Linked DNA regions of Danio rerio. The protein of the gene in region 2 purifies or fractionates together with the protein of the main gene of each other region. This does not show direct contact. Links are inferred from orthologs where the notes say so. Each region holds a gene or a part of one and is shown on either strand. Other genes may lie near its edges. The genes, in order: polr3b, zgc:171971, polr2f, polr3glb, uri1 and si:ch211-140b10.6.

Region 1 (3,500 bases), on a different chromosome or scaffold from region 2:
CTTTACGGTAAGCTCTTGTAAGTAAATAATGTCATCATTTTGGTTAGGGTTTTCATTTATGTGAAATCAATTTAATCTTTGATTTTGTTTTGTACTCATCTCTCTTATTTTGTCTGGTTTGTAGTTCTACTCATGAGAAAAAGAGCAGAACCAACATGATTGTGAAACAGGGCCGCTTTTACCTGAAGCACAACACTCTCTCTGAAGACGCACCCATCGCTATCATCTTTAAGGTGGGCATTTGTCTGAAGATGTTGGTTTAAAGCAGGATTGTTTTGTGTCTTTGTCGGCTAAATTGAATTAGCAAGATATAATATGCATTTGTCTTTATACAGTCCAGTATTTAGCTCTCAGGAGACATGCTGCTAACAACCAATAGATGGCGCTGTTTGACAAAAAACGGTTCTGAACACCAAGTACAGCAATTTAAATGTATTTTTAGGAGGTTATAATAATACAAAGTATATCTGTTGTAAGTAAAATCAGATTTTTAAACCGTACATATGTACGTATGTAATGTACGTATGTTACAGTAGCAAAGAACAATGAAAAACAGTATCACAGTTTCCACAAAAATATTGTGTTTTTGTTTCTAGCCTTGATAACATGTTTACATGAAGCAGTAATTTAAAATATTAGAATGATTTTCAGCTTTGCAGTCACATGAATACATTTATTATTTATAATACATTTACATATTTAATTCATAATTAATTGTTACTGTGTTTACTGAATTTTTATTGAATTTAGTCTTTGAAAGCATTAAAAACCTTTTAAAAACATCATACTCACCCTATTTTATTCACTCAAAAATTTTAATTTGCTCATCTTTTACTTGCCATCAAGAGTTTTCAAACCTTTGAGTTTTTTTTCTGTTTTTTGAAACTGAGTGTTATTGAAATACATAGTAGATAATAAAATAAAAACATAGAGATCAATGGCTGCAGGTTTTCAACATTCTTCAAAATATCAGTTTTTGTGTTTAACAAAAGAAAATCAAATGAAATGCTAAATGATTTTTTGGGGAACCCTTCTTTTTAATGTTACTATAACTTTCTATTATGATATTGTGCTATATGCACAAAGACTTTTAATTTTTGGCCATGCAGCCCAAGGGCTTCCCATGAGCTGTCTTTTTATTACAAAATTGTCACGTTTAAGATCTGATTTCTTTAATTATCAGCGATCTTCACTGCCTGTTAGATATACTGTACAATATAAAGTGGGTCTCAGATTGGACAAGAAGCACTGCATTAAATTCCATTTCCTCCCGCCATGTCTTTAAGATATGACAGTTTATTTTAACTTGAATTACATAACAACATCAGTGCTGTAATAACAACCTTGTGAAATTGAAGTCACATTAAGATTTCACCTGAAGTTTATCGTTAGCTTTAAAGCTCTAGCTGTGCATAAAGCCCATTAATCATTTCTCATGCATTCATTACATACATTTGCCATCCAAAAAAAAAATCTTTCCTCAAATATTATGTAGTATTTATATTGTTTGCATCCTTTCAGTGCATTTTAGCTGGCAGTTCTCCATCTTAAATGTCATGTGTCAGTTGAAACGGATATATAATTAGAGCTCAGATCAGTGGACTGGTGATGGATGTTAGTCGTAATTCCCTTAGCCCAGACTCTCTAAACATATGGGTCTGGTCGGTTGGGGATGGGGTGTGGAGTAAATCGGCAGTCAAGCTTGTTTGCTTTGCACTTGTCTGTCCACAGCACATTCCAGCAGGATTTCCTTGCAACACAGCAGCCGAGCCAAACGGTGGAGACCTTTAAGCACTCTGATCCACCCAGTCCTGTTCCCACAGTCCCACATTAGCATAAATAAATGTCATCGAGACCTGTGCCATCACATTCACCTTTGCCTTAAAGCAGAGTCCTACACTTGTTTATTTATGTTAGTGTGTGTCTGTATAGATTATGAAGCTTGGGATCTTTGACATGCATGTGTTTTTTATGGTTACATTTGTTTGCTGTGTCTGTGTTACCGTGTAATTATACATTAAGTACTGAATGATGTTGCTATGTGGTTAGATGGGTAGTTCACACAGAAATGAAAACTGTCATTATTTACCCACTTGTCACTTGTTACAAACCTGTGCGAGTTGAATATAAAAGAAGATAATTCGATGAAAGCTGTAAACCTGTAACCATTGGCATCAAAGTATGTTATTGACATCTAAATGGTTACTTGTCTATCTATTTCTATATCTTATAAAAAGGAAAAAAACGTCAACAAGTGGATATTTAAAAAAATTATTATGGTTTCATATTGATTGCTTTTTAATAGGCTTCTTCACACAGTGAATGTTTTCGGACTCTAAAGACACTTTTTTGACAGGTTTGGGACATGTTTGGTTAAAAGAATAGTTATTATATCATTGTAAAGAATAAATGTTGCACAACCCTTCTGGCTGCTACACTTAACACAGCCCAAACTCTCACTATTGGTCAGAGAGGAATGTGATTGATGGATTTGGGCCGGTAAAGGTTTCTGGCGGTATGATAACCCTTGATAAAAAAAATATCACGGTATTGTGATTACTACTATAAAATAATTTAAAAAAAAAATCTTTGTATAGCAACAACTTTTTCCCCAATTGAACACAATATATTTTATTTTAGGAAACATTTATAATGTTTTGGAACAGTAAACATGTCAAGCTACTTGATTAAAATAAATAAATAACATCTGCTATGTTTATTAGTTTCAAAAACACAGATTTCTTTCCAAGACATAAAAAACACTGAAAAAAAAACCCTTACATATACCATAGGAATTCTATGACAAACCTTTTCCAAATCACAGTAAACCTTGAAACTGGTTATCGTCCCATGCCTAATCTGGTTTGATCACTTTCAGTTTTAGTGATTGGGTCTGTTTAGGCATTAAAAATATTGAATAATTGAGCTTTAAGTACCATCTCTACTCATTTCTTTGTCTTTCGTCAGGCTATGGGAGTGGAGAGTGATCAGGAGATCGTTCAAATGATTGGCACAGAAGAACATGTAATGGCTGCTTTTGCTCCCAGTTTGGAGGAGTGTCAGAAGGCTCAAATATTCACCCAAACTCAGGTACCCCAGACAGAAACTGCTTTGCATTGCTTGTAAATGCATAATACATAAAACAATTGTTCCAGCTTGAATGACACTAGAAGTATTTTCAAAGTCATTTGCCTAGATCATCACCATATAGCAGAAATAATCTGGTTGTCCAACTTTTTAGGTTTTTTTCCCCATTTTTGAGGTGTATTATCAAATGCTGGATCTGAGATTTATTATTCATCACAAAGACACATCAATGGGTCAGCAAGGACCACATCTGCATCCTAGCAACCAGTGTCTGAGCGGATGTGAATGCCTGTGTGCGTGGATGTGACATTGTGCGGGCCTCATCAAAGGTCCACTAATGAGCCCACACGTGTGCACCAATTGACCAGAGCAGCCCTCAATTAGATAAGATGTGTTATTAGCACTGAGAATCG
Region 2 (4,232 bases):
TTCAGCTCCTGTTACGCCATAAATATGATGTTGATAAGTCTGACTCTTAAGTAACATTTCGAGAGTTTTTTTGGGGCAATACCAGTGTATAAATTAAATTAAAAAATTTGTTTATTATTTTATAATTAATTGTGTATTATTTAAATTATTAAATAGAAATATATTTTACAAATATTGAATATATTTTACAAAAAACAAAACTATATAAATTATTTCAGAAACATTAGTTGCAAATTGCACAAATATAAACTTTAAATGTATTTACATTATTTTAATGAACAATATTTATTCATTATTGTGAAAAACTAGATATTATATTATATTATTATATCTTTTTCTAACAGGAATGATAAGCTCTCTGCTAGCAAAATATATAATATAATATAATATAATATAATATAATATAATATAATATAATATAATATAATATAATATAATATAATATAAATAGGAATAAAAAAGTGAGGGCAGCCAAAAGTTGAGTGCCGCCCTTTGTTCAATATGAGTTAGAAGAAGGGTGGATGGAAGGGGTCTGTGTCCCAAAACTTACTGAAGTGGTTACTTTTACAACAGTTTTTTATAAAATATGTTTTTATTTTTCACCTTTTCATTTTAGTTTTATTTTATACTTGTTAATGCATAATATTCAAAATAAATGTATTGTACAAATATTGAGTATATTTTACACAAAACACGAAATTTCATAGACAGTAGTTTTAAAATTCAGTCCGATAATAAACCATTTTATGACACAAAAGAGACCATATAAAAGGAATGAAATAAACTTTAAATAAATATGTTTAAAATGTTTGTGCATTAAATTAAAACTATAAATAAATATGTTTAAAATGTTTGTGCATTAAATTAAAATTTACCATTTACAATTTTAAAGAGTATTTATGAAATACAGTCCAGAGTTATTATAGTATATCATTATATAGGCCTAATACAATATGATATTTATAAAAATAGCTATAAATATATATGTAAATAGATTTGAAACAAAATGTTTATTTATTGTTCAGATAAAATAACCGTTAAAAACAAAATATTTAAAATTAGTTCATTATTATTTAATATACAGCACTTATAATTTTTTTTAAGTTAAAAGTTTATTAATATTTTATTAATTGAGAGTTTATTAACAAAACCATCATGATGACACCATAAGACTAAATGGACAAATAAAAACTTTAAATATATTTTATTTATTTTTATTAAAAAATTTGTTATTGTGATAAATATAATATAAAATGATATAATAATATAAAATAAAATATAATATAGATGATATATAAAATAATAATATGTAAATATTAAAAAATGATATATAATATAATATAATATAATATAATATAATATAATATAATATAATATAATATAATATAAAATGTCTGAGTAATCTTTTCCTAACAGAGGGCTCGTGTCACGTGACCAATGATGCTCCTGCAAGGATGTAGCTGTCAGCTGGAAGAGTTCGGCAGATATGATGTGAGCAGTTTACACAAATTTCAAGTACGTATAGTATTTATTTTCACTTATCTCTAATGCAGCCGTGCGCAGCATTTTTAAATATGTCCGTCTAAATGTCATAAAGTGCTATGAAAGGCTTTGTTTTGATAGCATAGGTTGCTAACAAAATGGAGGCGCGCGCGTCTTGAAATCCAAGTCAGCGCACATTTAGTGTATTTTGAACGAGCGTTTCTCTTGGAAAATTAAGGTTTTCACCTTTGTTTGAGTCTGAGTAATCACATATTGCACGCTGCTCAGTAGGGTTTGTTGTTTGTGTGTTTGGCAGGATGTGTGATCATGGAGATGGGGACGCGGAGGCGAGCTCATCTTCCACTTTCAGACCGTCTTTTGCTCTGGGCAACGTTAAAGGACTGCCAGGGAGAATTTCACACAATCCTCCTCCACCAGGCAGACTGACCTCCCTGCGGTCCAGAGACCTGACCCTGGGAGGATTTAAAAAGGTTACTCATTCTAATACCTTTTTAATGCTGTTTTTAATCTTTAACAAAGACAAAAGATTGGTTTAAAGGGATAGTTCACGCAAAAAAATAAAAATTCTGTCATCATTTACTTACTCTTTCCTTGTTTCAAACCTTTAACGTTATTCGTTTCTGTCTTGTGTTGAATTTATTGAATTACTTGTTTGTGTTTTGGATGTTTATTGTTTTGTCCATGTTTGGGCTCTTGCCCTCAGCTGCAGTCATCACAAGACAAATTTCCCTAACTGGGACAATAAAGTTTTACCTTACCTTACCTTAAACACAAAATAAATAATTATGAAAAATGCTGGAAACCTGTAACTATTATTGAGATTTTAAATTTGGTTTTGTATTCGCTCGTTCATTCAGAACTTGTGATATGATCATTAGGCATGGGCCGATACAAGATTCTGACGGGATGATAACCTTGGATAAAAAATATCACGGTTTCACAGTATTGTGATTACTTCTCTAAAATATATTCTTTTTAAATCTCTGGGTAAAAAACAAACTTTTTTTCCACTTTAAATACAAAAAATTTACTTTGAGAAACATTTTAAATATTTTCCAACAGTAAACATGTCAGGCTACAGTAAATAATTAAAACAAGTCTTTGACTTCTGCTGTCTTCATTAGTTTCAAAAACTCAAATTTCTTTACAATTTAAAGTAGCACCTTTAGATATGTTTTTGTTGTCGGAGATTTGTCCTAAAAAAAAACAAAACAAAAAAAAATAAAAAAAAAACGAGATAAAATAAATAATAATTAAAATATAAATAAAAAAAACAAACAAATACATACCTTAGGAAACGGTATAGCAAAAGATTTCGGCAGTTTTAAAACCTTGATTTTTCCAAACCGCAGTACACCTCGAAAACGGTTATTGTCCCATGCCTAATGCTCACTATATCGTTTACGGTAACTTGGTTAAGTTAGTTTTATATTCACACATTCATGCTTTCTCCTTAATAATATAACTAGAGAAAAGTATTGTTTGCAAATTCTAAATAATGAATTAATATTAGCAGCCAACAACTGTCAAAGGGAAACATTAACAACTAAAGTCAGTTAAATAGTGCCAATGTTGTTTTGAAGACATCCTTACATGCTATTTCAGACTGAATAGTCAAAGTAGCTTGTTGAACAATACAGGGAGCGTGTCACAAGTTGTCGCTGTTAAAAACTGAACAATCGTGCGAATACAAAATCAACTTTACCTTAGTATTGTTTACCATAGTACTTTATCAGGAATATTAGGACTGAAATCACATGTAACTTCAAAACAACATTAGCACTATTTATTTGGCTGTGGACAATGTTGTATAATTGTGATACAACATTAATAAAACAATAATACTTGTTTGAAATTATATTATTAAGGAGAAAGTCAGAATGTGCGAAAATAAAACTAACTTTACCACATTGTAACCAGTGATTTTCTTAGTATTTGTTTTTCCTACTATGGTGGTCAATGGTTACAGGTTTTCAACATATTCAAAATATCAAATTTTGTTTAATTGAAGAAAGAAATGTATAATGGTTTGTGGGTGAGTTCATTATTACATTTAAAATATTCAGTGAACTATTCCTTTAACTTATGTTACTTGCATTGTGCTTTTTTACAATAAAAACATGGTTTCAAACCTGCTTTGGAGAAAATTATGAAGAAAATGTAAATGTGCAGCGCATTTTTTTAAAACCATAACCATTAGGATATATTTGTATAATACAATTTAACATGATCACATAACATGATAACATGATCTATCTATCTATCTATCTATCTAATAAATGCAGGTTAAATTTACATGAATGCACCTGTTACTTTAAATTACACTAGAATAATATTATTTTACCCATATTCTTGACATTTTACTTTCTCTAAAGTCTGAGACATCAAATTATAGACACTTCATTACATTGAATATTCTTTTTAATATTAAATTAAATTAAATTTTTTGTAAATTGTTTTTAATGCAGACATCAAATTAGGTCATCATGTCAATGCCTCATACTATGTTTATACTTGTCAGTTTATTAGAATTTTAGTCTAATTACTATCTGGTCATGTGTAATAAATATGAGTGTTACTTTAATAATGAACCAAGCAATTATTAATTGACTCGCTGTGTTTTTATTTCCCTTGCAGAAAACCTTTGTTCCAAATGTTCACTCCGTTCGCAAAAGTAAAGATGAGTAAGTATTTTTAAAGATCTCATTCTATTGCTTTGTTTGGTATTT
Region 3 (4,153 bases), on a different chromosome or scaffold from region 2:
ATTCATAATCATTGCTTTTGCTAATGCAAGTTTTATGCCCGCCATTGGCATAAAATAATAATCCTAAAATAATTCTGCAGAAATCTGCAGATTTTTACCAAAATTCTCTGCAGAAATAGCAAAAAAACATCCGCAGATTCCGTCTGACCCTACTTATCAGTGTTAAAAATATTAGGACTTACTTTTGGGTGCGTCTAGCTCTATGCTCTGACTTCTCTTGTGAGCAGAACCAGGAACAACAGCTATAAAACATTAAATTAAAAAACATGTTAGAAAGATCAGCACTGGAGTGTTACTACAGGACATTATTATTTTATCACAGTGAAAACGGTAAACATGTAGTGAACATTATGACAGATAATTGCTCAAACCATATAAAGCCATTTCATAGTGTATAATTCTAACATCTTTATTTTAAAAAGCCACGTCTTCATCTTTATGAGCTGTTTTCTTTTGGTTTTGTGATGGTTAGTTTTTGACTTTAGGAAATAGCCGGTTTGGATGAATAAACTCTGACCTCTGCTTTCTCTGCCGGACATGTTGATTCTCTGTTTTTTCTTCAGTCTTCAGTCCATCAACTTTCTATTTGCACCTGATGATTGTCTCTTTATCACCCTGTCATAGATTACACAGATTTTACTTAGCAAGTTATATATTGATTTGTAACTTTTTTATACTCTGTTACCAATGTTAATGTTTGTGTAGTCTATATGAACATCTACTTACACTTTTTTGCCCTGAACATATGCGGTAAACAGCGCTCTTGTATAGTGATTAAATCAAATAGGCCTATTTATAACAAAGTGAACATGTTTAATGAAAGGAGGACAACAAAGTTCAACAGCTGTAAAAGTTTTACATTTACATTTCTTTAAAACAAGCTGACACTGCACATTCAGATATAGGTTATAGAATAGGCCTAGGCTACATTCAATTTTTGTTTTTGTTATCAAACACACCTGAAAGTAAAACCAACCAAATCTAAGGCTTGATTGCAACTACACACTGAATACATCCAAAATAAACAATTTCTTCCAAACATCGCAGTTACATCTATACATTTGCATATTTTACAAATTGATTATTTAAAACAAATGTTTACCGTGTCGAAGATAGTCTTTTCCTTCTTGAAAACTGGAAAAACCTGTATTTTGGGAGGAGTTTTGTGAAGTCACAAGACACTCTTCACCTCTTTTTTCTTCTATTTCAATGGCGGGTAACACCAACGCCGTCGCTTAAAGAGGGAAGTGGGGGGGAATGATTAGTCTGTAAACCTAACCTCTAGTCCACAGTGCAGAGCTGAAGGTGGCGGTAATGCACCAAAACGCTGGATGTCAACCGCCGTAAAATTATAAGAAGAAGAAGAAGAAGAAGAACGCCGTCGCTTTGGTCATATACTAGGTGTAGGAGTGTGAACCAGATCAAGTTCGCATTCCCAAATAAGTAGACATAGTAGCCTATATTTTATAGTCTCGTTCAGTTCTGTTGTCTTTTTATCTTCATATGTTTGTCTTGTTAGACATTTAAATGTAAAAATATGTCAATTTGATGCTAGAACAGGGTAAAGTCTAGATAGGATTCAGCTGCGGATATGCACATCAATATCTGTGATAAGAACAATTAATATTTTTACAGTACTGTGACGGTTGGGGGGTATACGTAAAATACATTTTATTAAGTAATTTAATAAATAGCAAAGTACAGCTACTCTGTTTGCTGTTACGGCTAGAACAGGACAATATTAGATATGGGGATTTATTTGAAAATTTATAACCAAAAGTTTTACAGCGTTGAAACGTCTTTTTAGCATCCCGTCTTTGTTTTATAAACCATCACACATTTCCTACATTGTCTTGTTAAGAAATGTAAAGTGATTGTATTGTATAAGAAAACTGTACATGCTGGTTCTTGTTAATAAAAAAATAATAAATAAATAAAAACATTTCCTACATTGTGTCTTTTTTTACTGCTTTACGATTTGCGTGTTTGCGGAACGTCAGTGCTGTGGATCGTGTTTCTGCACGGACAGTGACGCTGCGGCAACACCGGAAAATCCTTCCACGCTTGGAGTCGCGCTGCGGTAAACTAGCTGTGAGATTCCAGACATAACATTTTTCTTAAAAAATTACCTATTAAACCGGGGTAGGAGACGCAGAACACTAATAATGTCGGATAACGAGGACAAGTGAGTTTCAAACGCGTGTGTTGCGCTCAATGTTTTACTGTTTTCGAACGTTTAAAGTGTGTGAATGTGGAAAACAACAACATGCGATCATTTCCATACTGCGACACAACATATATAACGATGAATGTGACTTACACAGACCTGACAGCTGAGTCTTATTTACCCGATATAGCGAAGACTTGATTTGTGATTTATTGTCGATGACGTGTTTGTTTATCTCAGAGTTTGTTTGTTTGTTTGTTTAGTTTTGATGACGGAGATTTCGATGATGTTGAAGATGAAGAGCCTCTGGATGATCTGGAGAATGTGGAAGATGTAAGATCACACTTTCAGAGAAATACTTGCTTATATTCTGCCTGGTAATCATTGAGAAATGGAGTATTATAGTCAAAGATTTCTCTTATTTCCACATGAGAAATACCACAGAGTTACAGTTTAATAATTTGAGCCACACTGTAGTATTTTGCTGTATATATTATAGTATTTTTCAACTGGTTATTAATGAATGCTGCAACATACTGTAATATTAACTATAGTGAACTGAGAATAACTGTAGTATACAATAGATTTCTACAACTATGGAGTATATTATACTTCAATACACTACAATTTACTGTAGTAAAAACACAAGTATTGGCTTATTTGTTTATATTACTAAAGTACAATACATTCATTCATTCTCTGTTCGGCTTAGTCTCTTTATTATTCTGCGGAATGAACCGCTAACTTATCCAGCATATGTTTTACACAGCATATGTGTATGGGAAACACCCACACAAACTCATACACTGTGGCCAGTTTAGTTGATCAATTCCCCTATAGTGCATGTGTTTGGAGGAAACCCACGCCAACATGGGAGAACATGCAAACTCCACACAGAGATGCCAACTGACCCAGCCGGGACTCGAACCAGCAACTTTCTTTCTGTGAGGCGCTTGTGCTACCCACAGCGCCACCGTGATGCCAATATAGTAGAATGATATAGTAGAATCACCACAACAGATCAAATCAAGTACTCCACTATAGTATAGTGTTTGTGTATGCGTGTTTTGTGCTTGCTCATGTGTGTGTTGTGCATGCTTTTGTGTTTGTATTTTGTCCTAGCATTTGTGTACATTATGCATATTTGTGTGGGTGTGTGCATGCTTGTGTGTTTTGAGCATGCATTTGTTTCTGTGTTGTGTATGTATATATGTGTGTGTGTGTGTGTTTTGTTTAATTGTGTGTATCGTGTATGTGTTTGTGTGTGTTTTGTGTTTATTTTTGTCCAATGTTTTGTATGTGTGTGTGTGTGTGTGTGTGTGTGTGTGTGTGTGTGTGTGTAGGAGGACCAAGAGAATGTTCAGATCCTGCCGGCAGGTGAAGGACAGCAGGCCAATCAGAAGAGAATCACCACCCAATACATGACCAAATACGAGAGAGCGCGAGTGCTGGGAACACGAGCTCTGCAGATTGCGTGAGTGACCGATCCACAATCACCACTCAACACACACACACACACTGCCAAATACACAACATTACCAAACATGGAGATGCACACTGCAATGCCTCAATCTCTGAATCATCTCGCAGCATTAATCTGAACGCTCATACTCTGTTCATGTGTCCTTTTCTCTGTCCTCTGTTTAACTGTGGATTGAAGCACTGCTTTGGTTTCGCCTAACTTGCTGATCTTGGTGTCTGATATTGTGAGGTTTTATTTTTCTGTGATAAATATTGTGATAATACAGTTTCACTAGAGAGTTTGATTGGCTCTGTTTGACTGATTTCTGTGGAGAAACAAATGCTTTTCTTACTTTGCTTTCTCTCGTTTCTAGTCCAAATATCTAAAAATTCTTAAGAAAATATTTTGTTTTCAACTTTCCATGAACTTACTTTTGAAATTTTTCCCTAAAACAATCAAAATGATCTGCCTCTTATCCGTTTGATTAGCATTCATTTCAAGAGGAGCATTAAAGTGCAAAACCC
Region 4 (4,237 bases), on a different chromosome or scaffold from region 2:
CTAAGCATAATAGTTTTTTAATAAACATTAACTCATTTCTAATAAGTGATTTATTTTATCTTTGCCATGATGACAGTATATAATATTTGACTAGATATTTTTCAAGACACTTCTATACAGCTTAAAGTGACATTTAAAGGCATAACTAGGTTAATTAGTTTAACTAGGCAGGTTAGGGTAATAAGGCAAGTTATTGTATAACAGTGGTTTGTTCTGTAATCCAAGGGTTCCCAAACTTTTCAGCCCATGACACCCAAAACGACAATGCCAGTGACTCGCGACTCCCAACATCCTCTGAGGTGGTTATAAGTACAGAAACCCATGTCTATTCTTTGTGGAATTAATGTATGTCAGTGCTGTTAATGTGCCAGAAAGTTTAACCTGGTGTTATAAAATCAGTCTGTTACATCTGACGCTATTGCTGTCTTTAACATAATGTAATTACCCCAGGGGTCGCAATCCAATAGAACTAGTAACTAGAAGCTACTATAGTAACTCAATACAGCAGTATATAGTGTATAAAGATGTTAAAATGTTAAATCACTATAAAGATGATTTAGATTTTTCTCTTCAGTAGGTTATGGATAAAATATGGTAATTCTTATGGTTTAATAAAAATAACTCGATTTTTGGAAATAACTAGGCGACCCCCCCCCCCTTCATTGTCGCGCGTCCCCCACTTTGAGAACCCCTGTAGACTATCAAAAAAAAAAAAAAAAAAAAAGCTTAAAAGGGCTAATAATTTTGACCCTAAAAATTTTCATTGAAAAATTCAAAACTGCTTTTATTTTAGCCAAAATAAAACAATTAAGTCTTTCTCCAGAAGAAAAAATATTATCAGACATACTGTGAAAATTTCCTTGCCCTGTTAAACATCATTTGGGAAATATTTTAAAAAGAAAAAAGAATTCTAAGGGGGGCTAATAACAATACCTCAACTGTAAACACACACACACACACACACACACGCATGCACGCGCACACACACGCACTGTGTCTGTGAGTATTATACAATAAAGCCATGAATTACAGAAATATCTATACTGTATGTACACGGACAAATATGTTTCACATATGTAATAAAGTGTTGTAACTTAGTTATAGGCTACATAAACAGTAGTTTTAATAAATAATAGCCAACATTTAAAACAGATCAAAAATGTTTATCAAAATTTGTCCTAAGTTAAAAATGTGTGTTGTTGAATAGTTTTGGAACAACTTTGATAAAGGTTTTGATCCACTTCAAATGTTGACTACAGTATAATAATCTTTAGCATGTGCATCAGCATCTCTGTGAGCAATATGCAAAACATGTAATGAATCCTTACATATTTTGTAATGATTTGTTTGTTTAGCATGATTCACTTTGAGTAGCACTGGTTAACGTTAACTGACGCGAAACGCGGAACCATAAAAGACCGCGCTCATGTTTCTGGCAGGAGTGTTTTCAGAAGCGGGCAAAAACAAACGGGCAGATGTTTGGCGGGTGATTTTATTGCTCAATTTTACATCAATAAAACCTGAAATTACATTAAAAACAACCACGTTTACTGACGGATTAACCAATAAAACCTTTGCACAATGAAACGAAGTTGAAAATAAAGAGGGATTTCGCCGCATTGAGTGAAAGAGGTGTGTTTATATGCTACAGTTCGGTCAAAACAAATAAAACGTTACATTGAAAATAAAACATTTACCAAAAGTACATTTATGTAAAAATAAATATTTTAACATGTTTGGCCTAAATGTGTCTTTTCTAGCCGAATTTAGTTGTTTGATAATGAGTAAACTTATACTGTGAATAACGGATAAACGAGTTAAATAAAGAGGATGTATGATTAATAAATGTGAAATATTTTGTCTCAGATGATGGCAGGAAGGGGCAGAGGGCAGCTCACTTTCTCTGTGGAGATAGTTGGGATCGGTAAAGGTGAAAATCTCCCTCCGTCCTGCATCCAGCCGACACCTCTGTTCCCCGTGAGTCTTCAAGACACAACAATAAAGCCTCGTTTATAAACTGTTATACGCTTGTTATACACTGCTATTATCAAGATATGAGTCAGATTCTGCATTTCATGAGCATAAACGCAGTGCTTTAATAGTTTAATGTGGATGGCGTCACGAGCTACACAGAAATTGCATTGAAAAAACGGTCCTGTTCAACATTCAGCAAACATTACATTTTAAAAGTGTCTAATATCACAACAACATATTTGTTTAAATATTTGTTTTAGAATTCAAATTGTTTTATTGTTGAACACATCATCACAGTATTCCACCTTATTTACCTTAACAGTTACATAATAAGCCACTTACACTCACCGGCCACTTTATTAGGTACACCTTACTAGTTTTGGGTTGGACCACTTTTGTCTTCAGAACTGCCTTAATCATTCGTGGCATAGATTCAAAAAGATACTGGAAATATTCCTCAGAGATTTTGGTCCATATTGACATGATATCATCAAGCAGTTTGCCCGCTAAACATCCATGATGTGAATCTCCTTTTCCACCACATCCCAAAGATGCTCTATTGGATTGTGATCTGGTGAATATTGTGGCCATTTGAGTACAGTGAACTCATTGTGATGTTAAAAAAAAAAGTCTGAGATGATTTGTGCTTTCTGACATGGCGCGTTATCCTGCTGGAAGTAAGAGTAGAAATCAGAATTATCAGCCCCCCTTTGAATTTTTTTGTTCTTTTTTATATTTTTTAAATGATGTTTAACAGGGCAAGGACATGTTCACAGTATGTCTGATAATATTGTTTCTTCTGGAAAATTAAAGCAGTTATTAATTGTTAAATACCATTTTAAGGTCAAAATTATTAGCCCCTTTAAGCAATTTTTTTTCCGATAGTCTACAAGCCATCATTATACAATAACTTGCCTAATTACCCTAACCTGCCTAGTTAACCTAATTTACCTAGTTAAGCCGTTAACTGTCACTTTAAGCTGTATAGAAGTGTCTTGAAAAATATCTAGTCAAATATTATGTGCATCATGGCAAAGATAAAATAAATCAGTTATTAGAGATGAGGTATTAAAACTATTATGTTTAGAAATGTGCTGAAAAAAATATCTTTCTGTTAAACAGAAATTGGGGAAAAAAATAAAAAAGGGGCTAATAATTCTGACTTCAACTGTATGTTTTTTTTATTTCAATTAACATTTTTATTACAGTAAAGAAAATAATTTTATTGCCATTTTAAGTGTCTGTAGATGTCTCTGCCATAAAGACAGTACATAATATTTGACTAGATATTTTTCAAAATACTAGTATTCAGCTTAAAGTGACATTTAAAGGCTTAACTACAGTAGGTTGATTGGGGTTTATTAGACAAATCATTGTATAACAATGTTTTTTTTCTGTAGCCAATCGAAGAAGAAAAATTTTCTTAATGGGGCTAATAATATTGACCTTTAAATGGATTTTATTCTAGCCGAAATAAAACAAATACGACTTTCTCCGGAAGAAAAAATGTTATCAGACATACTGTGAAAATTTTCTTGCTCTGTTGAACATTATTTAGGAAATATTTTAAAAAAGAAAAAAATCATTCTGACTTTAGCTGTATGCCCTATTAAAAGCTGATTTCTGTCTTGGCATGTGTAAATGAGTGACAGCAGGTGTTTGTGTGAGCAGCAGACAGATGTGAATGTGCTGTTTGATGTGTTCAGCCTCTGGATCAGAAGCCAGTGCCCCTGCAGGCAGGTGAGGAGGCCGAGTACATGCTGGCCCTCAAACAGGAGTTTAGGGGAGCCATGAAGACGCTCCCGTTTTACATCCGTCCAGCGGCTCCCAAGAAAGGTCAGTTCAGAGCCCAGGACTAGCTCTTTACTGACATCTTTAAAGGGCTTATATTATGCTCATTGTATCATGTCATTTTTTTTTCGAAATTACATAACATGCGATTTCTACACTTTGGCACATATGCAATCCTTTTTTTCTAATCCTGAGTCTTAATGCAATTATTGTAAATAACATTTAAAGGTGCAAATGTTTAAAGGTATGTAATTTGACACCCAGTGGTTGAACTAGGAATTACATTCCAGAATCAAAACATATGCAAGTGCAGGTTGCCAGATGACCAAGAGGAGCGAGTCTCAAGCCTAATGTAAACCGTGTTCAGTATAAAAGCAACGGCACGTGATAGAACAAATATTTTCCATATTAAAAGGAGTTTTTGTCCTAACCAACACCTCGAATTGATATGTTAGAAACGGCTTTTATTTCA
Region 5 (4,216 bases), on a different chromosome or scaffold from region 2:
CTTAATAAAAAATTACTTGAATCCAAAAAAATACATCCCTAAAAAAGTACAAAATATTCTCGGAAGGTGTTGAAGAACAAATCCCTTGAATCATAAGTGTAGTACTTAACACGCCATTGGCATATTAGACATTGGCATACTGCACAAGTGCAGTAAAGACAGAGTTTACTTGTTTTGTTAACTGGAACTTAAACTGTAGTTAAACTTTATTGTACTGCATTTGAGCTGTGTTTATACTTCATTTTTATAGCAATTGTACTTAATTCATATGCAATTATACTTCTATTTACTGCTGTTGTACTGCAGTTTTACTTCAGTTTACTGCTCTCGTTTACTGCAGTTATTTTTGTAAGGGCAAACAACAACAACAATCCAGGGGTTTTCAGTCATCTAGTCCAAGATAAGTGCCAAATCCTGCAATAAAGTCCTTGTTCTTATTGCTTTTAAGTTTGTTGATCCCTCAATAGACTCAAAATACATTTTCATTTCAATTTTACATTAAGAAAGAAAATCCTAACCCTAAACAAAATACACTTACAAAATTTGTTTTTGTGAATATGAAATTTGCCCAACAAAAAAATCAGGTTATGAAATAAGTATTACTTTCCTTTTGACTTTTACAGAAACCAAAAAAAAAAAAAAATTCTTATAAGTAAATGCAAAATGTGCCAGCACATAATCTTTTATAAAATCAAGAATATCACATCAAAATGTCACTGAATGAGGCCAATTCCAAAATAAATGAACAGAAGTTTTAGGAATCTCTAAGCAAAATGGACAGTTGATGTTAATATTATTCATAAGCCTTTTTAGATCCAAATGGTTTGGATAGCATCTATTAATCAGTTTAAATGTAACTTCTCTTATTTTATTTATTTATTTATTTTAAATGTGGGGTAATGAGCAAACTTTCTTACATGAAATTGTACCAAAGAGCTTAGAATGATCATGAATGGTCATTCTAAGCTCCTTGAATTGTACAGAAGCCTTTTGTTTTTGTCGAATCATAAATTGTACGACTTCCTGTTTCGTAACGTCACGTGACGTTGGCGTGAGGATTGTTTACATCCTCTCATCATCAACCCATGTTTTCATTTAAACATATAAAGTGAACAGAACAAAAGCGCTTAGACAGTACCTACATTTACTGTTATCAAAATATGTATATATACACGTGTCCCAACAAGCGACCACTTTCGTTTGCCAATTTTAAAGAGTGGCGTTAATACTAAAAGTTGTTTATTTAATTTCATTTCAGCATGTAATCATTTAAGTCCACGAATAACTCAATAAATTTATTGCAGCTAAGCATTTAAAGTCGAAAATTATAAATGAAAGTGAAATTAAATAGCAAAAGTGGGAGATCACGTGCTTGCGTCGTAGAAGGAGAGCGATATCCAGAGCACGTACTACATCCGTGATTAGATGAACATGGCGCAGGGGAAGCAGGCCGTCGGTGGACTGTAAACAAGAGGAAATTTCGGGATTAGATTGACATCGTACCATGCACGTGTGAAATGGTCTCAATCTCGATATACTGGACGACTCGTTCTGCTTCATTGATGACTACGAGGCGACAAATTGAGTGCAACGCATCACATTGCATTCATAAACATTTCTATAGGACTTCAAACCCCTGAGCATTCATTGTTTTGGATATTTAATCACACAAAAACCTTGCTTGATTGTGGATGCACGAGCAAATGGCTGCAGTTGGGAAAGTCAAACGGAGTACGAGAGATTTGCCTCGAGGCGTGGAGAGGTTGAAAGATGAGCACAGGAAGGTCAGGAGTAATGTTTATTTCCATAACAACAATGCATTCCTGCAGATATTATTGTTGATGTTCATAAACGTGATTTGTCATCAGCGTTTGAAAGATTTGTCGTCGATTTTAATGTCGTTTATTTTGTATATTTGCAGCGTTGCCCGTTTCATTCTCTGGAAAGTTCTCTCTGTATCACGTGTTGCCGTTGGTTTTCTTTTTGCAGTTACTGCATTTTTGTTTGCATGTGTTTTTAATACTTTGCTGTAAAATCCACGTGTATGTGTTTACATGAAGCTTATCTTGATGTTAGTAGAAAACTTTACATGTGACGTTAACTCCAATTTAATCAACCACATGGCACATGCCCACGTTGCCTTAATGTATAGAGCAAGTAAAAGCTTAAAGTACTTTTAGAGTAGGCAATGAAATGGAAACGACTCCCTGTGAAGGTAAGGTTTAATTGACCCATTTCTATGTGCATGGAGTGAAAAGAATAGGTGAATGTCATACACACAATGTCTTTGACCCCATTTGTTCACAGTTGAAGATAAACACCCAGTTGGCTGGATTTGAAAATTACGTTTGACCTGCTTTCTTTACAGCAAAGATGTGTTTTAAAAAAAAACTGTTTTAGAATCCCTGAGCAACAAAATAATAATTATAGCTTTGTCTATTACATTTATTATTATGGCCACATTTAGCTTAAGACACCCATAAAAAATATTTTACCATAACAGAAGTTTATACCAAGTAGAATATACTGTATATTGGCAGGTATATTTAGAACATGTATCATTTGATGACATTAAAATACTCCTAGTCCTAAGCATTACAGTGCAACCCCAAAACACAAAGTATTTGTAACTTTTAATCCATATTCTCTGCCAGTATCATTCTATCATTCATTTACTACTTTGTCATAAATTTAGTTTCTTTATATTACAAAAGTTTGTTTTATAATTGTGTGTGTCTAATATATATATATATATATATATATATATATATATATATATATATATATATATATATATATATATATAATCTCGTCACCTTAGAATTATAAAGTTCTATTTGACATTACCTAGTATTCGGAATGCTTTTATGGCCATTTAAAATGTCAAAAGTTACCTAAAAGCGAACCGTACCTCTTTTTTGGTACCCTTTGGCCTTAGTGTCCCACCAGTGACGATATACAGCCATATCACACTGCCACGAGTTCAACAGTTCAGTGGCATAAGACTACCGGAGTCTCTCAAAAACACTTTTGTATGAGGAACTACCTTCTTCTGGCAATTATTCACATCTGCACCTGACATCAGAACAGCAGAAACCTGTGCTAATTCACTAACGTCACTTTAGAGCTAGTATTTAAAGGATTCTCTAGCGTAATGTCTAAAGTGATGACAAAACAGGTCATTTTGCTCACATTTTAAGATTATAAGGATGAACGGCATGAAATGCCATCAATGTTTAGAGATTTCCCAGTATTTCTCTGTTGCGATTGGGGGATCACAATAATTAACCCCGAAAAAACCAAAGCAACGCAAATGCAACCAGATTACTATGGTATAAATACAGCACTACAACATACAAAAGAGAAACATCAACTTAGTGACACTTATTTATAATGATTTGATCAGCTGTAATTTGATTTTTTTTATTTTTATTTTTGCTGAATTTTTCCTCCCCTAAGCACTTATCGAGGTTTTTGTCGCCATTCTGTAGCAAAACGTCAACCGTCTATGCTTTGCTCAGTGACAGGCTAACGGTCTCTCAGAAATTATAAATATTCTAAAATTGCCACTATCCTTATAAATAAACTGCAAAGTTGCAATCTAAACAACTACATTCTCACCTCAAAAGTACATTATGTTGTCCAAAACCCTTATATTTGTCAATCTGTAGTAAGTTTTTTCATCTGCTGTCACTCTATGTGGGCGGAATAATACAGAAGAGTATGAAGGCTGTACAAGTGCTGATATAGCAGAATATCGTACAGCCAAACAAAACGTGTGTGTTTGTGTGTTTATTTAAATTTTTTTGACATCATCTTGTCATTTACCTGTAGAATCTGTAAAGATCTTGCATATTCCACACCAGTATTTACATTGGAAGTTATAATTAACCTACTATCATCACATTATTTTAGTAGTTTAGCACATAATTAACCTTGAAACTGTCATTGTTTTGCCAGTCACTCTGAAATAACCTCATTCCTTTTATGGAAATTGAAAAAAAAACATTCAATAGCAAAAAAAAAAAAAAATGTAACATTTACTCTGATTTTATTGAGAAATGACATGAATGGGAATAATATGTAAAGGCTTGTCCCACTTTTCACAAGGAACTTTCAGGACTGTCATTCTCTGTGATGGCCAATTCACGCTACTAAAACATTACTGATAATTTAGCAGTGGTTGTTAATTGTTGTCTGTGGTATTTTTAATATT
Region 6 (4,146 bases), on a different chromosome or scaffold from region 2:
TTGGGAAAACAAATATAATTTTTTTCCTCTGAATGCATTTCTGTTTTTAGTGAATCTAAACTTATATTTAAATACATTTAATTTAAATAAATATCTAAAGAAAAAAAACATTAATTAAATAGTAATTATTGCTCACAAGTGACTTAGAATTAAGATATTTGATCAAGTTTTTTTTAATTATAAGCATTAAAACATAACACTATGTATTAATAAAAATTCAGACACAAACTATATCCAAGACCATTACAATAAGTGCAAAAAGCCACATCCAGAAATAATATTAAAACAAAAACATAACAAGTAAAAATATTAAATTAAATATAACTAGTAATAAAAAAAAAAGATTGGCACACAATCAGACTACAGTGAGGGATCAGTACCAGAAAAAAAAACTTCATGAAATCTAACATCAAGTCATTTTTTTGTTATTAATTTGCATTAGAAACTTTTTCAAAGTTTCCATTTCTAATAAAAATTAATAGCATTTTGGTATACACTTCGCAAACTTCTGTTTATGAATAAAATATTAACCTTGTAGCATGTAAAAATTAACAACATACCAACATACTCTAATGAGTGTGTGTGTGTGTGTGTGTGTGTGTGTGTGCGTGCGTGCGTGCGTGCGTGCGTGTGTGTGTGTGTAAAGAGCAAATACAATCTTTTAACATGTATTTGCCCAAATAACACGTCACTAACATCATACTAAAATGTAAGAGACATCACAGTTATAGAAAAGATGTGATAAGTGTGCAAGTATTGTCAACATTCATGTATTTAGATAAGATAAAAAGAGATTAATTGATTTATTTATTATTTTATTTATTATTTTTTTATTATTATTAAACAGCAGCAAATATACAATTTAAACATGACATCCAAAACTACAAATGTAACCTATAACATAAAATAAACTAAAATATAAATTACATAAGTTAAATAAATAAAAAGACTGTAAAGATATTATGTCATGTAATGCGCTTTGGGATCATGTAATGACGTAAAGAACCGTCGGAACATGTTGAACTGTTCCATTCAGAGCTGCTGTTCAAATGAACCATTTGATGAAATGACTCTGATTTTTTCACTACCGTTCGTTTGACAGGCTGCAGACGGCGCTGTTAGTCGAATATCAGTTGTGACCATCGAGATGCCTGATTAAAGTGCGATCGTAAAACCTATTATTAAGTCAAATAATAAACTAAAATAGACTGTTTAAATGTACGTACTTTTTGTTCCAAGTGCAGATAGTTTCTACATTTTTAGTTTGAATTTTACTGTCTGCTCACTTCCGCAAATTTAGTCAAAACTAAGATGGTCAAGCGGACCGGGGTCCTAAATTGGGTCCTCGAGAATAGTAAACACTAACGTTACTGGTTAGCAAGCTGGAACAAGCTATAAATTAACAGTGACTGCGGTTTAAGGTTAATTAGATCATGGAAGACAGTGAACTGGAAAGGTATGATATTTCTAAATGTCAATTTTCCCCCTTTTGACCAGTTTATTGGACTAGTTTACGATGCAGAATATGCTAACGCCCTCGGCTTCGTGCAAATTGGTCAGTAAATTTGTGTAAACCAAAACCTGAGACGAAGCACCATACTTTTGTTATATAGCAAACATTTCGGTATCCTAGAAAAGTCTATTTTGCACCGTCAGAGATTTAAACGTGCTATTTAATTTGGGGTCACGGTAATACATAAATTAACCCGTTTCTGTCGTCAAATGTCTCACTGTAAATAATTTCCCCAGAAAAGCAGTGGAGGAGCTCCTTAAAGAAGCGAACAGAGCAAAAGCCCGTGTCGAGACAATGGGTCCTGCTGGATGGTAAGTTTGGATCACTAAATTGATAAATTACAGATATTTAAAGTGACCAATTTGAAGTCTTTTTCTATTATTAGTAACCACTATTGCCCCCACTCTTTTACACACACGCGCACACACACAAGGGTGTAACTTTGGTTTTCGGATGTGAACTTAAACCTGTGTATGTATATATACAGTACTGAGTACACCCCTTAAAGATCTGTATTTTAAATTAATATGTAGTATAAAATGCTTTACAGTAATGCATTTTGCACAAACTCTTTAGATTTTAAGGTACAAAAGCCAAAACTGTGACTAATCAAATATGCTTTTCACAATAATCAATATATCGACTTATCGCACAACACATTGACATGACATCTATCATTTTTGGTGATGTAATATATATTGCCCATATATAAAAGTCAATTCTAGCAACATTTTAGCTGATGGTGCAACCTCTTTATGTTACTGTAGTATATTTTCATGCAGGTGTCTGACAACTGAAAATAGATCTGGTAGCAGATCTTGCAGCCTCTGTTACTTTTTACATTGCACTTTTTACTACTATTTATTCAGGATATGTGTTTTCACATGCTGATTCCCCTGCCTCATTATTAAAGTTAAAATGACTATAAATTAAATGAAACATCCTTAAGAATAAAATATTATGTGGTCTTTAGAAGAGTGTACTTGCATTTTGATGTTATTATATTGTCATTTTGGCATTATATAATAAGTGGCATAAAATGGTCTCAAAATGACAATATTGTTCATCATAATATATGTTGGTGCAATATATCATACAAGAAAAAATAGATATTATGACAAGCTTATAATTAAAAAAAACTATTTAAGATCACAGTGCAAAAATCAGTACACCTTAATTAATATACTGGGGGAAAATATTAAATAATATATTAATAAACGGGAAAAATACTTTTTTTTTTTTTTTTTTGCAAAAACTTGTTTGATTGTAAGTGTATTATTTTCTATCCTCGAAGGTGTTAAATGACTGAACCATATAACTGTTCTGTTTAAATAAACCAAAGATGATTGGCTGTATTCATTGGAAAATGGCTAGAAGAAATATTTATTTTTAATTGGGTGTAATCGTTTTTACTGGTGTTTTTACGGGAGAATCTTGTGGGAGTGCGGTAACAAAAGTGTCAAATGACTAATAATTGTAGAACATTTGAGCTGGCTTCAGTCCTTAGTTCTTTCATTTTCCTTTTCATTTTATTAAAATATATGTATTTAACTTGTTTGTTAATTAAATACAGTTCTGTCATTTAACCTATTATTTTTATGCAACAGTCAAGTTGCATGCTAATTTGCTCTGTGAAGGTTACGCGATTTATGTTTAAAATGTTGGTTATCGTCCTCCAAATCAAAAGATGTATGTACAGTATGTATGTATGTATAGACATTTACATTAGATGTTGCCTACGCTTTTTTCATCTATTGAAAGGAATTTGTCGATAGAGTCGCCATTTTAGTACAGGGTAGCGCTTCTTTAAAATGAATGTGGGTTCAAGGTGCAGCGGAGGACTGGCCATCCATATATACACATATACACATTTATTTACGATCGGGGGGTTTTCCATTGGTCAGTATGCAAATATTTTATGAAATTACAAAAATTATAAGTTTACATCACTTTTCTATATTGATGGATAAATGATTGCATGGGCATTCCTGGCAAAGAGTGTGTGATTGTGTGCATGGAAATGTATTATCTACCCTCCCTGTTTAATTTGATCTAATTCATGTCCTTAAACACACCCCCTCTCCTGCTTTCACTTTTCATTCCAACGGAGGGAGGGATTCGTTTGTGAATGAATCTCTGTTAAGAAGGACTTGATCACTTAGTTGACAATAATACAAGTTTTCACAGCAGCACCTTCTTGTTATATTTCATTTACATTGTTATCTCATTTTATTCAACAAAACTAGCATAAGTCTAGAATTGAGTGCCAGTTTGTAACATACAAAAACATAAAAAACGAAATCTTACCTATGAAATGTTCTGCCTTTGTGCTTGGTTTTCTTTGTTTGCTTGTTACTACACCCGTAAGCAGTGCTAAAGTCCAGCATCTTCACATTGGCTTTAGTCTTGATTAGTGCAGTTGAATGATGTCCTGGGAGCACTGTACAAATGTGGCGGCGCAATTGACGCATGCTCAGGAACCATATGCGATAGTGTATATATCTATGGAATGTATGTATGTATGTATGTATGTATGTATGTGTGTAATTAACTACTATATATGTCTCCTAAAGCTGCTTAAATTGCCGTTTTGTTTTAGGATGAAATGTCCACTGGGAAGCACAAACAAGCGC

Evidence for each region.
Region 1: the proteins of zgc:171971 (region 2) and polr3b purify together in Homo sapiens (affinity purification with mass spectrometry; 8 studies listed by BioGRID and IntAct, counting the BioPlex papers as one, with this or other methods). This does not show direct contact. The link is inferred for Danio rerio from reciprocal best matches to the Homo sapiens genes POLR3D and POLR3B.
Region 3: the proteins of zgc:171971 (region 2) and polr2f purify together in Homo sapiens (affinity purification with mass spectrometry; 5 studies listed by BioGRID and IntAct, with this or other methods). This does not show direct contact. The link is inferred for Danio rerio from reciprocal best matches to the Homo sapiens genes POLR3D and POLR2F.
Region 4: the proteins of zgc:171971 (region 2) and polr3glb purify together in Homo sapiens (co-immunoprecipitation; 4 studies listed by BioGRID and IntAct, counting the BioPlex papers as one, with this or other methods). This does not show direct contact. The link is inferred for Danio rerio from reciprocal best matches to the Homo sapiens genes POLR3D and POLR3GL.
Region 5: the proteins of zgc:171971 (region 2) and uri1 purify together in Homo sapiens (affinity purification with mass spectrometry; 3 studies listed by BioGRID and IntAct, with this or other methods). This does not show direct contact. The link is inferred for Danio rerio from reciprocal best matches to the Homo sapiens genes POLR3D and URI1.
Region 6: the proteins of zgc:171971 (region 2) and si:ch211-140b10.6 purify together in Homo sapiens (affinity purification with mass spectrometry; 6 studies listed by BioGRID and IntAct, counting the BioPlex papers as one, with this or other methods). This does not show direct contact. The link is inferred for Danio rerio from reciprocal best matches to the Homo sapiens genes POLR3D and POLR1D.

What each region holds. Positions count from the first base shown.
Region 1 is NC_133193.1:16,764,684-16,768,183, reverse strand, and holds part of polr3b (DNA-directed RNA polymerase III subunit RPC2), read left to right. Parts: intron 1-124; coding exon 125-233; intron 234-2,967; coding exon 2,968-3,090; intron 3,091-3,500. UniProt on the Homo sapiens protein: Catalytic core component of RNA polymerase III (Pol III), a DNA-dependent RNA polymerase which synthesizes small non-coding RNAs using the four ribonucleoside triphosphates as substrates.
Region 2 is NC_133187.1:7,835,675-7,839,906, reverse strand, and holds the start of zgc:171971 (uncharacterized protein), read left to right. Parts: upstream 1-1,432; 5' UTR 1,433-1,486; coding exon of another isoform or gene 1,487-1,491; 5' UTR 1,492-1,515; intron 1,516-1,798; coding exon of another isoform or gene 1,799-1,799; coding exon 1,800-1,973; intron 1,974-4,140; coding exon 4,141-4,187; intron 4,188-4,232. UniProt on the Homo sapiens protein: DNA-dependent RNA polymerase catalyzes the transcription of DNA into RNA using the four ribonucleoside triphosphates as substrates.
Region 3 is NC_133178.1:1,278,189-1,282,341, reverse strand, and holds the start of polr2f (DNA-directed RNA polymerases I, II, and III subunit RPABC2), read left to right. Parts: upstream 1-1,353; 5' UTR 1,354-1,376; intron 1,377-2,033; 5' UTR 2,034-2,165; coding exon 2,166-2,185; intron 2,186-2,430; coding exon 2,431-2,500; intron 2,501-3,510; coding exon 3,511-3,641; intron 3,642-4,153. Other genes in the region: uncharacterized protein, read right to left, coding at 183-242, 518-539. UniProt on the Homo sapiens protein: DNA-dependent RNA polymerase catalyzes the transcription of DNA into RNA using the four ribonucleoside triphosphates as substrates.
Region 4 is NC_133191.1:47,264,670-47,268,906, forward strand, and holds the start of polr3glb (DNA-directed RNA polymerase III subunit RPC7-like), read left to right. Parts: upstream 1-1,437; 5' UTR 1,438-1,632; intron 1,633-1,866; 5' UTR 1,867-1,869; coding exon 1,870-1,977; intron 1,978-3,680; coding exon 3,681-3,810; intron 3,811-4,237. UniProt on the Homo sapiens protein: DNA-dependent RNA polymerase catalyzes the transcription of DNA into RNA using the four ribonucleoside triphosphates as substrates. Specific peripheric component of RNA polymerase III which synthesizes small RNAs, such as 5S rRNA and tRNAs.
Region 5 is NC_133193.1:16,045,299-16,049,514, forward strand, and holds the start of uri1 (unconventional prefoldin RPB5 interactor 1), read left to right. Parts: upstream 1-1,416; 5' UTR 1,417-1,703; coding exon 1,704-1,784; exon of another isoform or gene 1,785-2,188; coding exon of another isoform or gene 2,189-2,215; intron 2,216-4,216. UniProt on the Homo sapiens protein: Involved in gene transcription regulation. Acts as a transcriptional repressor in concert with the corepressor UXT to regulate androgen receptor (AR) transcription.
Region 6 is NC_133199.1:25,556,342-25,560,487, forward strand, and holds the start of si:ch211-140b10.6 (protein POLR1D-like), read left to right. Parts: upstream 1-1,346; 5' UTR 1,347-1,433; coding exon 1,434-1,456; intron 1,457-1,749; coding exon 1,750-1,824; intron 1,825-4,112; coding exon 4,113-4,146.